Linked DNA regions of Callithrix jacchus. The protein of the gene in region 1 purifies or fractionates together with the protein of each later gene. This does not show direct contact. Links are inferred from orthologs where the notes say so. Each region holds a gene or a part of one and is shown on either strand. Other genes may lie near its edges.

What was found. The genes of interacting proteins can lie anywhere in the genome.
Region 2: the proteins of TONSL (region 1) and ASF1A purify together in Homo sapiens (affinity purification with mass spectrometry; 4 studies listed by BioGRID and IntAct, counting the BioPlex papers as one, with this or other methods). This does not show direct contact. The link is inferred for Callithrix jacchus from reciprocal best matches to the Homo sapiens genes TONSL and ASF1A.

The regions. Positions count from the first base shown.
Region 1 is NC_133517.1:53,194,077-53,199,335, reverse strand, and holds part of TONSL (tonsoku-like protein), read right to left. Parts: intron 5,235-5,259; coding exon 5,120-5,234; intron 4,487-5,119; coding exon 4,341-4,486; intron 4,247-4,340; coding exon 4,094-4,246; intron 3,853-4,093; coding exon 3,727-3,852; intron 3,594-3,726; coding exon 3,407-3,593; intron 2,129-3,406; coding exon 2,046-2,128; intron 1,954-2,045; coding exon 1,864-1,953; intron 30-1,863; coding exon 1-29. UniProt on the Homo sapiens protein: Component of the MMS22L-TONSL complex, a complex that promotes homologous recombination-mediated repair of double-strand breaks (DSBs) at stalled or collapsed replication forks.
Region 2 is NC_133505.1:125,223,865-125,229,745, forward strand, and holds the start of ASF1A (histone chaperone ASF1A), read left to right. Parts: upstream 1-2,475; 5' UTR 2,476-2,723; coding exon 2,724-2,832; intron 2,833-4,385; exon of another isoform or gene 4,386-4,681; coding exon of another isoform or gene 4,682-4,713; intron 4,714-5,881. UniProt on the Homo sapiens protein: Histone chaperone that facilitates histone deposition and histone exchange and removal during nucleosome assembly and disassembly.

The sequences.
Region 1 (5,259 bases):
CAGTAGTCACGAGGGTTCAGGGGGTGGCCCTGTGACCAAGGACAGGAAGGAGTCTGGCCCTGTGCCCCTCACAACCTGGCCCCAGCCCCACGAGCTTTGTGGCCTGAATGGGGCCCAAGGCCTTAGTCTTAGAGCCCAGACCAAGTCCCATGGCTCTGCACTCTCCTCCTCCAGAAGGGCACGCTTCTCGAGACAGGTGGACCAGCCACAGCATACCCTCAGCCTCTGTGCCTGCCTGGTCCCCTTGTGGGAGGACAGCCCACCCAGTCACAGGGTATGAGGCAGGCAGCACAGGAAGGTGCCCAGGTCTCAGCCTACGGGCTAGTCTCCATCCTGGCCAAGCCAACCAACTTAGCTGCAGCACAGATACGTACCATACTCCAGGCACTCCTCGTTTTTGTTTTAGACGGAGTTTTGCTCTTGTTGCCCAGGCTGGAGTGCAATGGTGTGCTCTGGGCTCACTGCAACCTCCAGCCCCTGAGTTCAAGCGAGCCTCCTGCCTCAGCTTCCCAAGTAGCTGGGATTACAGGCATGTGCCACCATGCCCAGCTAATTTTTTTTTTTTTTTTTAGTAGAGTTGGGGTTTCTCCATGTTGGTCAGGCTGGTCTCGAACTCCCGACCTCAGGTGATCCACCTGCCTCGGGCTCCCAAAGTGCTGAGCCACCACCGTGCCCAGCTGCACGCCATTATTTTGTGGCTCTTCTTTCTTTTCTTAGATGGAGTCTTGCTCTGTCACCCAGGCTGGAGTGCACTGGTGCAATATCGGCTCACTGCAACCTCCACCTCCTGGGTTCAAGAGATTCTCCTGGCCGGGCGCAGTGGATCACGCTTATAATCCCAGCACTTTGGGAGGCTGAGGCAGGTGGATCACGAGGTCAAGAGATCGAGACCATCCTGGTCAACAAGGTGAAAACCCCGTCTCTACTAAAAATACAAAAATTAGCTGGGCATGGTGATGCGTGTCTGTAGTCCCAGCTACTGGGGAGGCTGAGGCAGGAGAACTGCTTGAACCCAGGAGGCAGAGGTTGCGGTGAGCCCAGATCGTGCCATTGCACTCCAGTCTGGGTAACAACAGCGAAACTCCGTCTAAAAAAAAAAAAAAAGAAAAGAGATTCTCCTGCCTCAGCCTCCCAAGTACCTGGGACCACAGGTGCGTGCCACCACACCTGGCTAATTTTCTTTTTTTAGTAGAGACGGGGTTTCACCATGTTGGCCAGACTGGTCTCCATTTCAACCTCAGGTGATCCACCTGCCTCGGCCTCCCAAAGTTCTGGGATTACAGGCATGAGCCACCACGCCTGGCCTGTGGCTTTTTTTCTGATACAGGGTCTTGGTCTGTCACCCAGGCTGGACTGCAGTAGCACAGTCACAGCTCACTGCAGCCTCAACCTCCTAGGCTCAAGCAATCCTCTCACCTCAAACACCAAAGTAGATGGCAGGTACATGCCAACACATCCAGTTAATTTTTAAATTTCTTGTAGTGACAGGGTCTTGCCATGTTGCCCAGGCTGGTCTTGAAGTCCTAGGCTCAAGCGATTTGTGTGTCTTGGCACCCCGAAGTGCTGGGATTACAGGTGTACACCACCATGCTCAGCCTCTGCTTTTTCATTTTTTTTGAGACAGGGTCTCACTCTTTTGCCCAGGCTAGTGCACTGGTGTAATCATGACTCATTAAGGCTCAACCTCCCAGGATCAAATGATCCTCCCACCTCTGGGACCACAGGCAAGTGCCACCATGCTTGATTAAGGGGTCCCATTCTAAAGATAAGGAAGCTGAGAGTTACAGAGATCAAGGGACCCTGCCCAAACACACAGCTCCTCTGTGCCGGGCAGCCTGTCCCAAGTCCTAGAGCAGGGCCCACCTGCCTCACGAGGTCCTGGACGCGGCGCAGCTGGCCCTCAATGCAGGCTCGGTGCAGCAGGGTCTCCCCCATGTCGTTTCGCCGGTTCCACTGTGGGCACAGCCAACCCAGCACAGGACAGGGGAGTGAGGGGCTGGCAGGGCTGCTGAGCAGGGTGGGTGGGGGCAGGGCACCATCCTCACCTTGCTCCCCTTCCGCTGGCCCAGGCGGCCCTGTAGCTCCTCGTCCTCCTCCAGCTGCTGGGTCAGGCCATCAGTGTCGTCCTCTGAAACAGAGCCAAACCCACTCCAGATGAGTCTGTGGGAGGCAAAGGTTAGAAGCCCCTACCCTGCTGCAAGCTCCCCGAACTCCCAGGTAGGAGCCAGAGGTGGCAGGCTGAGCTCTGAGGCTGCTGGGCTCTTGGGGCTCCTTGGCAGCGGTCCCGGCGCTGCCTCTGGGTCTACCTGACCCTGCTTGCTCCTGCCTGCCATCTTCTGCCCACTTAAGACACACCCCTAAGCTTTCTGGCCCAACCTAGGCCTGGCCCTCCCTCAGAAGGCCTGCCTGAGGCCCCATCCATCCGTGAGCCAGCTGCTCATCCCCATGCTGTGACTGGCTCCCGGGCCAGCCTCCCACCATCCCAGGCCTTCTCCACCCCCATCTCCTGAGCAGTGTCATCAGGCCAGGTCAGCCCTGGAGTCTGGGTGCCCTGCATTCGCAGCCCCCACCCTGCTTAGGCAGCAGACATACCCACCTCCATCCCTGCTCCTGGTGATCCCTCGTCACCACGCCCTTCGCACCCTGCCAGCTGCCTCCTGGCCCTTCCCCAGCTCCTCACTGTGCCCACGTGCCGAACAGCACTCCCCAAAATTCCAGATCCTGATCCACCTTGCCCCAGCAACCAATCTGGTGAAGTTCCAACTTCCCACAGCTGCCTGGCCGGCCACTTGGGTTTCTAAAGGACCCCTCAAGTATAGAGCTGAAGTCACAGCCTTCCCTGGAACACCCCCCAAACAGGCCTCACGGACAGGCTTCTGACACTTACCACTCAGTCAGAAACCAGCCCCTCAGCCACCCACTGACCCGACTCTCGGCCCTCCCTCCCTGCACCACAGCCAAGATGGCTTCAGTCCAAGCCCCTCTCCAGCCAGTCCCTCATGTCCGTCCTCCATGCAGCCGACCTCACTCGGCTCTGGAGGACACCCAAGCCTGCTCTGGAGGGTTTCAGGAAGGTGCTCAGCTCTTGCGGGGGCAGCAAGGCTCTTCAAGACGCACCGTCTCAACCCTGGCCCTGGATGGCACCTCCACCTCTAATGGGACCATGTCTCCAACTGACACACACTCAGCTCTCAACCACTGTCTCTTCTGGGAAGCCATGGCCTGCCCCAGGCTCCCTGCAGCTCACCACCTTCTCCACTCAGTTCCAGGGAAGCACTGGCCGTCCTGCCTCCCTCTGGCTGTTCCCGCCACAAGCCCTGAGCAGGCTCCACAGCAGCACAGCACACCCCTCTCCAGCCCAGCCCAGGACAGACTCAGAGAAATGCCAGGTGCCGCCAGGCCTCACCGCTCTCTGAGAGCTCCACCTCACTGGCTTCCAGGGCTCCACTGTCCACTGTGGCCACCGCCGCCTCCTCTTCCTCCTCCTCCTCGTCTTCAGCTACAATGAGCTCCTGTAATCTGATTTCAGTGCCAGGGGCCTCCTGGGGCTGCATCCTCAGCTGCACAGTATGGAGGTGCTGCAAGACCTGCCTCTGAGGAGCAGAGAGATGCTCAGCTCAGGACTGGGGGTGCAAAGAAAGATAGGGATGTAGGACGGGGGGAAGGCAGGCTGCAAGGAAGTTGGGCTCACTGGGGAGCCGACATGGGTGGGACATGCTCTTGTACCTGCAGCTGGGGCCGCTGGGCCTGCTGGGCACAACTGAGTGCCTTCTGGAAGCACGGGGCCAGCAGCTCATAAGCATCACCAGCCTCCTCTCGGGACAGTGCGATGTTCAGCCAGGTCTTGGCCTCCTGGAGCAGGAGGAGATGAGATCTGAGGCTTGGCAGCCACCATGTCCACCTGGCCCCAGCCAGGCTTCCCCAGCTGCCCACATGGAGTGAGAGCCCTGTCTCCCAGCTGCCGAGGGTGGATGGTCCTAGGAAGGAGCTGCCTGTCTAGGAAGGATGGCTGTCCATGGCTACCCTTGAGAATGGCAGTCCTGAGGCAGAGACATGGGTGAACTTGCATTCGGGCAGGGAGCAGGGGTTTCACCTCCAGCACGTTGCCGCTGCGCAGCCTCAGCTCTTCCTCATAGTGGCGCACGGCCCCAAGGTGGTCCTTCATGTCTCCCAGCGTGGTGGCCAAGGACACATGGATGATGGCCCGCTCTGCCCCTGGCCTGTCCAACAGCTCAGCAAAATGCAGCTGGGGGCAGCATCAGTGAGGCCTGGGGCTGCCATCCTGGCCAGGCCCTGTCAACCTCACCAGCCCTTCCCCCAACCCAGTGGGGACCACACACCTGCTTCTGGTAAGCCTCAGCTGCCCTGGGAAAGTCGCCTGCCTTGGAGAAGAGGTCCCCTAGCTGCTCACAGATGGCCATGGCACCCTGAGGGTCATTGCCCTCGGCCTCCTCCAGCTGCTGCTGCAGCCGGACTACTGCCAACACTGCCGGGAAAAGGTTCATGCAGCGGGGAGCCCAGGGGGCACACAGGGGGCCCTGCTGTCAGCTCCACCACCTGTGTGCCATGAGCCCTGTGGTGGCCCCACTACTTTCTCCACACCTCTGCTTGCCTGTTGGTGTTGGGGTAAGAGCAGGGTCTGTCTCAGGGACTGGTCTCAGAGATCAGAAGGACACACTTAAAAACTCAGATGGTGCCTGGTTCAAAGCAAAGGCTGACCACTACCAACCTCCCACGGTGGTCTCAGTCATCAGCACTCCTGGACCACATTCGTGCCACCTGCTCTCCCACCTGGGAGACTACAGGAACAACTACAGTCTCCAGTTTGCGAATGAAGACGGTGGCCGCAAAATAAATACCCAGCTAGTCTCCTGGCTGCCCTTTCAGTGCCCCTGACACACTGTGTTGAGCTCAGAGGAAAAACAGGGGTCTCCCCCGTCAGGAAGTGGGGGCACCTGCCCCTCTTGCTAGAAGCTGAAGCTGCTGCCTCCAAGGACAGGTGTTCAGGCAACCTCCATGAGGGAGGGAGGCCTGTACACACCTCCTGGGACTTCACCCTGGCCCCCAGGCTCATCCCTGCATATGCCTCCCAAGGCCCCACTCCGGCCCCCAGACTTACCGTGCTGGAGGTTCTGACAGATGGTTGCCCTCTGCACAGGCTTCTGGGAGCCCAGCCTGTAGGCCTTCTTCAGGGCTCGCTTGGCAGCCAAAAAGTCTCCCAGGTCTTGGAGGACCTGGAAAGCAAAGAACAGAGAGATT
Region 2 (5,881 bases), on another chromosome or scaffold:
TTGCCTCTGAAACCAGAGAGATGCTGTCACAGTTCTTTTTTTCCAACAGCATACCAGTTAAATTAGAAATATGCCAGGGCACATCTCAGGAATCCTTTCAGTCTCTGCTGTAAGGTTGTGTCAGTGGTGAGGAAACTATTGAACAAAGTACTCAAAGACCCTTTAATATTTTTGACAAGCAGTAATAAAAGAGTTAAGACAGGGCCGGATGTGATGCCTCACACCCATAATCCCAGCACTTTGGGAGGCTGAGGCAGGAGGATCACTTGAGGTCAGGAGTTAAAGACCAGCCTGACTAACATGGAGAAACCCCGTCTCTACTAAAAATACAAAATTAGCCAGGCGTGGTGGCACATGCCTGTAATCCCAGCTACTCAGGAGGCTGAGGCAAGAGAATTGCTTTAACCCGGGAGGCAGCGGTTGCTGTGAGCCAAGATAGCACCATTGCACTCCACTCCAGGCTGGGAAACAAGAGGGAAACTCCGTCTCAAAAAAAAAAAAAGAGTTAAGACAGGAAAAGCAGTATGAGAGGGCTGGAGCTAATTCTTGCAGCTTCCAGTGAAATATCAGGGAGTTTTTTTCTTCTTAAATACTGTTGTATATGACATGTTAAACAAACAAACAAAAAGCCAAATTAGTGGCATCCAGGTAGATCTTCTCAGTTCTTCCCTTCATGCTGCATATCTACCAAAAGTGAGTTTATGACTGATCTCATTGTAACACTTACGGTCAGACTGCAAAATGCACCTGATTTTAACAAGCACAAAATGTCATTTTTATGAGAGTAACTAGATTCTCAAGAGTACCTGTAATAATCAGACAACTGCATACACTAGTCTCACAGGAGTTTCAATCTTCAAATGGTCATTTTATCTTACATAAAATAGTGTCTTACAGCATACAGCAATTTCCACTTTATCGTAGCTAGTGTTAGGACCAGCCCTAATAAGAATGAAGAGTGTATTGTTTATCAGTCACAGAAATCTGCGTCTATCCCCATGGTTTGACTCTTAATACTCTAATGTCACAAACAACTGGGTTTGAAGGTCTTTTCTGGTAGGTCCTATATCTAACTGTTCAATCCACTGACAAAAAAGGAACTCTTCCCCACTCTGACATGGTTTTCCTAAATGTAAGAGGCGCTGATATTAGCTGTCTCACATTAACTTTCAAAAGACCATCAGATGAAAACGTTTCATTAAAAGGCACCTACTTAAGTACGAACAATGCCCAAAGAATGACAAATCAAAATTCTGGGCACTATACTAAGAGAAAATTCTTCCAAAACAGATACTTAAGAATTTTTCTCTCTGAATTTGGCCAAGTTTGGTGGTTTCATTCACAACATTTAAGGAAAAAAGTGATGGTTTATGGATAGCAGGTAATAAAACAACCCTTTACATCACTTACTAAATAGAAACGGTTTAGGCTCACAGACATGTTAAAGCTTCCTCTTTCCCTGCAATGGTAGTCAAGCCGCATAAACGAATCAACGTTTCCTCAGTTCAAACCCGAACTGGTTACAGGCAAGCAAGGGCTCCTGAGAATTTGCTTGCTGTGCTACAAATTTTTATTTACTAACGGTTTAGGTCAAGAATTTTTTTTTGAAGATCAAATGTCTTGCTATGCCTTTGTGTTCTTTTCCCATCTGTTATGTTTGTTGCCCTGTTGGTCTCCTGACACTTCCATTTTCTGTTCTCTCCAAATGGCTGTAACCTGGGGTATAACTAATCACATCGCTTGTGATTCTTTTCTTATTCTAGGACTTTCCAGATCTGGACTCGGAAGACGACGCCCAGGTGCAAGCCCAAAGGTTACCTATTTAGATTTTCCAAGCACAGTGTGTGGAAAATCATTCCTCGCCCTTCATTTTGTGTCTGCTTAACGGCGCTGTCGTGCCCAAACGTAGATACTGGCCAAGAGCTAGATTTCCAAAATGGCTTTGCTCCTTTCGAGCCGACATCGGTCTTTAACATGCAATTTATTTCCACTGCAGCTAATCATTCTCTCTACTCCAAATACTACCCGATACACAGAAAGCTGAACCTAACCCAGTGTAAACACGGACTCTCATCTGCTAAATTCAGCAAGGCCGTCAGAGCCTTTGCACCGATGTAAAAAAAAAAAAAAAAGAAAAAAAAGCGTTAAAACAAAAAACCAAAAAACAAAAAACGCCAAAACACCTCACACGAAACCAACTAGAGGGGCGGGCGTCGCCCGGATCGCGCCCTCCCGCCACGGCCACGCCTCCCCGCCGCGGCCACGCCCCTCGCCTCTCTCCGCGACGCCGGCGGCGGCCTCCGCGCGGGCCTCCCAGCCCTTATTCCACTCACTTTGTTCTCCGCCTTTGTCCTAATCCACACCAGCAGGTGGAGCCGCAGTTAAAGTTTCCGAGTCCATTCCGGGAGCGGGAGCCCATCTTGCTGGCTGCCGAGGCACTCGCTGGAGGAGGAGGGTCAGAGCTCGGGTGCAGCCAATCGAGGGCAACGCTGCTACTTATCAGAGCAGAATGGGCTGTAGTTTAGTGAAATAGGAAAGCTGCAAAACACTGTGGAGTGTTCCCGTGTAAATAAAAAGAGGGAAAAAAAAGTTTCTCAAGTCGCCGCTGCACGACGTCGGGCCGGCGCTGGGGCGGGGGTCTGCGCTCTCCCGGGCGGCCGCGCGCTGGACTTTATTGTGCCGCAACCAGCCCCAGTTCCCATTGTTTGTGTTTTTTTCAAAATATGGCAAAGGTTCAGGTGAACAATGTAGTGGTGCTGGATAATCCTTCTCCTTTCTACAACCCGTTCCAGTTCGAGATCACCTTCGAGTGCATCGAGGACCTGTCTGAAGGTGAGTGCGGCGCCCGCGCACCCGGGCTGTCAGTTGCGGGCTGCAGACGTTGAAAGTTTCCCGGGCCCGGCCTCGCGCTGGGCGGCCGTGCTCGGCGCCGGGCGGCCGCGGGCTCCTCTGCGGAGGGAAACTTGAAGTTGATGGACGACGGCAGCCGAGGCGCGCGCGGCGTTCCGCCGCAGCCCAGGCGTCTGCCGGGCTCAACTTGCGAGGAACTTGTTTGAGCCGAGGAGCGGAGGTAGCCATGTTGTCAGCTTTGTCTGCGAGCGGGCAGCTCGGAGACCGGCACTCGCGCCCGCGGCGCCGCCGGGGGTCGCGCGGGGCTGGCTCCACGACCAGCCTCCACGACCCTCCGGGCTTGGGCACGGAGGCTGGGAAGGGAGAGGCTGTGCGTGTAGTAGCGCCGGCGAGTTCGGAGCGGAGCCATCTTACCCCGAGTCGAGAATTGGGCCAGCGACCCCGGCGCACGGCGCCTTCTCTTGCCCCGCCGCCCGCCTGCCCTCCAGCCCCTGGCGAAAGGCAGGTAGTCAACTCTCTAGAGCTCACAGTGGAGTCGCCTCACTCTCCGGGCTGGCCATGCCCGGCCGCTTCAGAGAGGAGAGCGAGGCTGTCCTCGCGCTGATTTCTGGCTCCCTCGACCAACCAGCAGGGGAGGCGGGCACAGGCTCGGCCCCTCCGCGCCGCGGGCTGGGCGCCGGCGTTCCCCGGGGGCCGCGGGTCCTGTTCGGCCGGTCCTCCTCGGCCGGCGCCCGGGATGCGCCGGGATGCTGGCGCGCAGGCTCCCCAACCAACGTGGACTCCTTTCCCCTAATGACGAAAAGCTAATCTCAGGAAGAGAAATAAGAGCTGAGCTAGGAAGTTACATTTAACCTAAGAGCAGAAATTGGATACTTAAATAATTTCAGGACTTAATCTTTGCCTTCTAAATAGTCTTTAAGACTTTCTTCAAGGACGTGTTGAAATCTAAAATAACTCCACATCCAGATACACAACACACCCTGAACATGAAACACAAACGTAGGCTAGAAAATTAAGGTAAAATACTTAGTCCAAGAATTCTTTATATTTTTTTCTACATGTTTCAAGGTCTTAAAAATACGTATTTTAAAATATGTGTAGTAATATTTAGAAAGCTAAAACGACAATTATCCTTGCTTTTATTTTACTAAAGTAATTCAGTGCTTAATTTGCCAGTTTTGAAGGGGAAAAAGTTTAACTTCATCGATGAGGGACATCTTTGAATTAGAAGTATATTTTTAAAATGCATTGAAGATTTGGCTAATCATAGCATGTAAAACTATTTTCATTTTAAAAACTAGTTTTTAATCTCTAAAATGTATATATCTTATGTGAGTTGTTAACTTTATAAAAACAATATATGTTCATTGTAATAAACTTATAGAAAGTTGTACAGGCATATATAAAGTTAACAGTTCTCTGTGTTAAATACCTTCCCCTATCTCACTCCTTTAGGTAATCACAATTATTACTTTAACATGTGTGCCTCTGTTTTTTAAGACCTATGCAGAGCATAAATACACATATAGGGCAAATTTTAAAAGATAATTCATTTATTAAAATAATTTCAAATAGGCCATTGATAACATTAAGGGGTATTTTTCGTATTACTCTGAAGTCATCTGATTATTCTCTTACGATACTACTATTAATATAAGCATTGCAGCTACCAGCACCATTTTTCACACCCAACAGTCAGTAAATTTTTCTTTTTTATTGCCAATTGCATATAAAAACAGACAAAAGAAAAATCATTGGTCAGTCCATTCCAAATTATACCACAGTGTTCTTCAAATATACCACCAGAAGTTCTTCAAATTACAGGTATTTCTCAAGTGATGCCTTCCATTTTAGGAGTCAGCTCTGAACAAAGAAGATAGATGACTCAGGATGTCGTTATAGATGAAACCAGCCATTCATAGAAGCCAAAACATGTTCCATTTTTAAGTGGGATCCATTCAGAACCCAGCTGAATCACATCAGGGTTTTACAGTACTGGTGTCAAGAATATGCTTATTTCCAATGGTATATTTCACTTCCAAGGCACCATTACTGAGTATTTAGTATTTTAAAAAATATTTTAAGCTGAGTCATGCCAAAGCTGCAAAGGAATCTTTCAAAAAGGGGCCATGACTGTGTACTCCACCTAGAGGCTATGTGGATTTAGGAAATGAGTTTACTTAGCAAAGGTTTCTTATAGGTTCCATACTTTTATATTATAGTTTTTTTAAAAAAAAATTCTTAAACTATAGAAAAAATTTTTCTTTTAAATGAGACAGGGTCTCACTGTGTCACTCAGGCTGGGTGGAGTGCAGTGGTGCAAACACAGCTCCCTACAATCTCAATCAGTCCTCCCACCTCAGCCTCCTGAGTAGCTGAGAAGACGGTCAATGTACCACCATATCAGGCTAATTTTTTAGTTTTTTGTAGAAATGGAGTCTTGCCATGTTACCCAAGCTTGTCTCGAACCTCTGGACTCAAGCAGTCCTCCCACCCCTGCCTCCCAAAGTTTTGTGATTATAATCACTGCATCCAGCCCAAATTATAGAATATTTTGAAAAGAATTTTCTTTATGAGTTACTTTGTCTCAAGTCTCAAAGCGGAGTTTGGCCACCATTTTTCATACTTTTGTTAATAGCCCCCAAACATTCACTCTCCTAGACCTGCCCTGTAGCTTTGCTTCAGAAAAAGCCTTGAGGAATATCTGTTCTTAAGATAATTTGGTTCTAATATAAGGCTTATATTAGGAGTTAAAACAGTCTTTAAAAATGGGAGGTGCTGAGGCTTTAATGTCTGAGAGATAGAAGACCCTGGATGTGCTTGATGGTCAACGACACCTATACAGGTTTTGATTGACCATCCTGCCATTCTTAAGTTTACATCTTCATTACAACTACTCTCAATTGAATACTTAAATACTAAAATTGAGCATGGTGCTTCATACTTTCCAACTTCAGTTTGTTCTAATTCCAAAGCCTAGATACTTTCCACTAGACCACAGGTCTTCCCAAGTAGTGTAATTAGCTAAAAA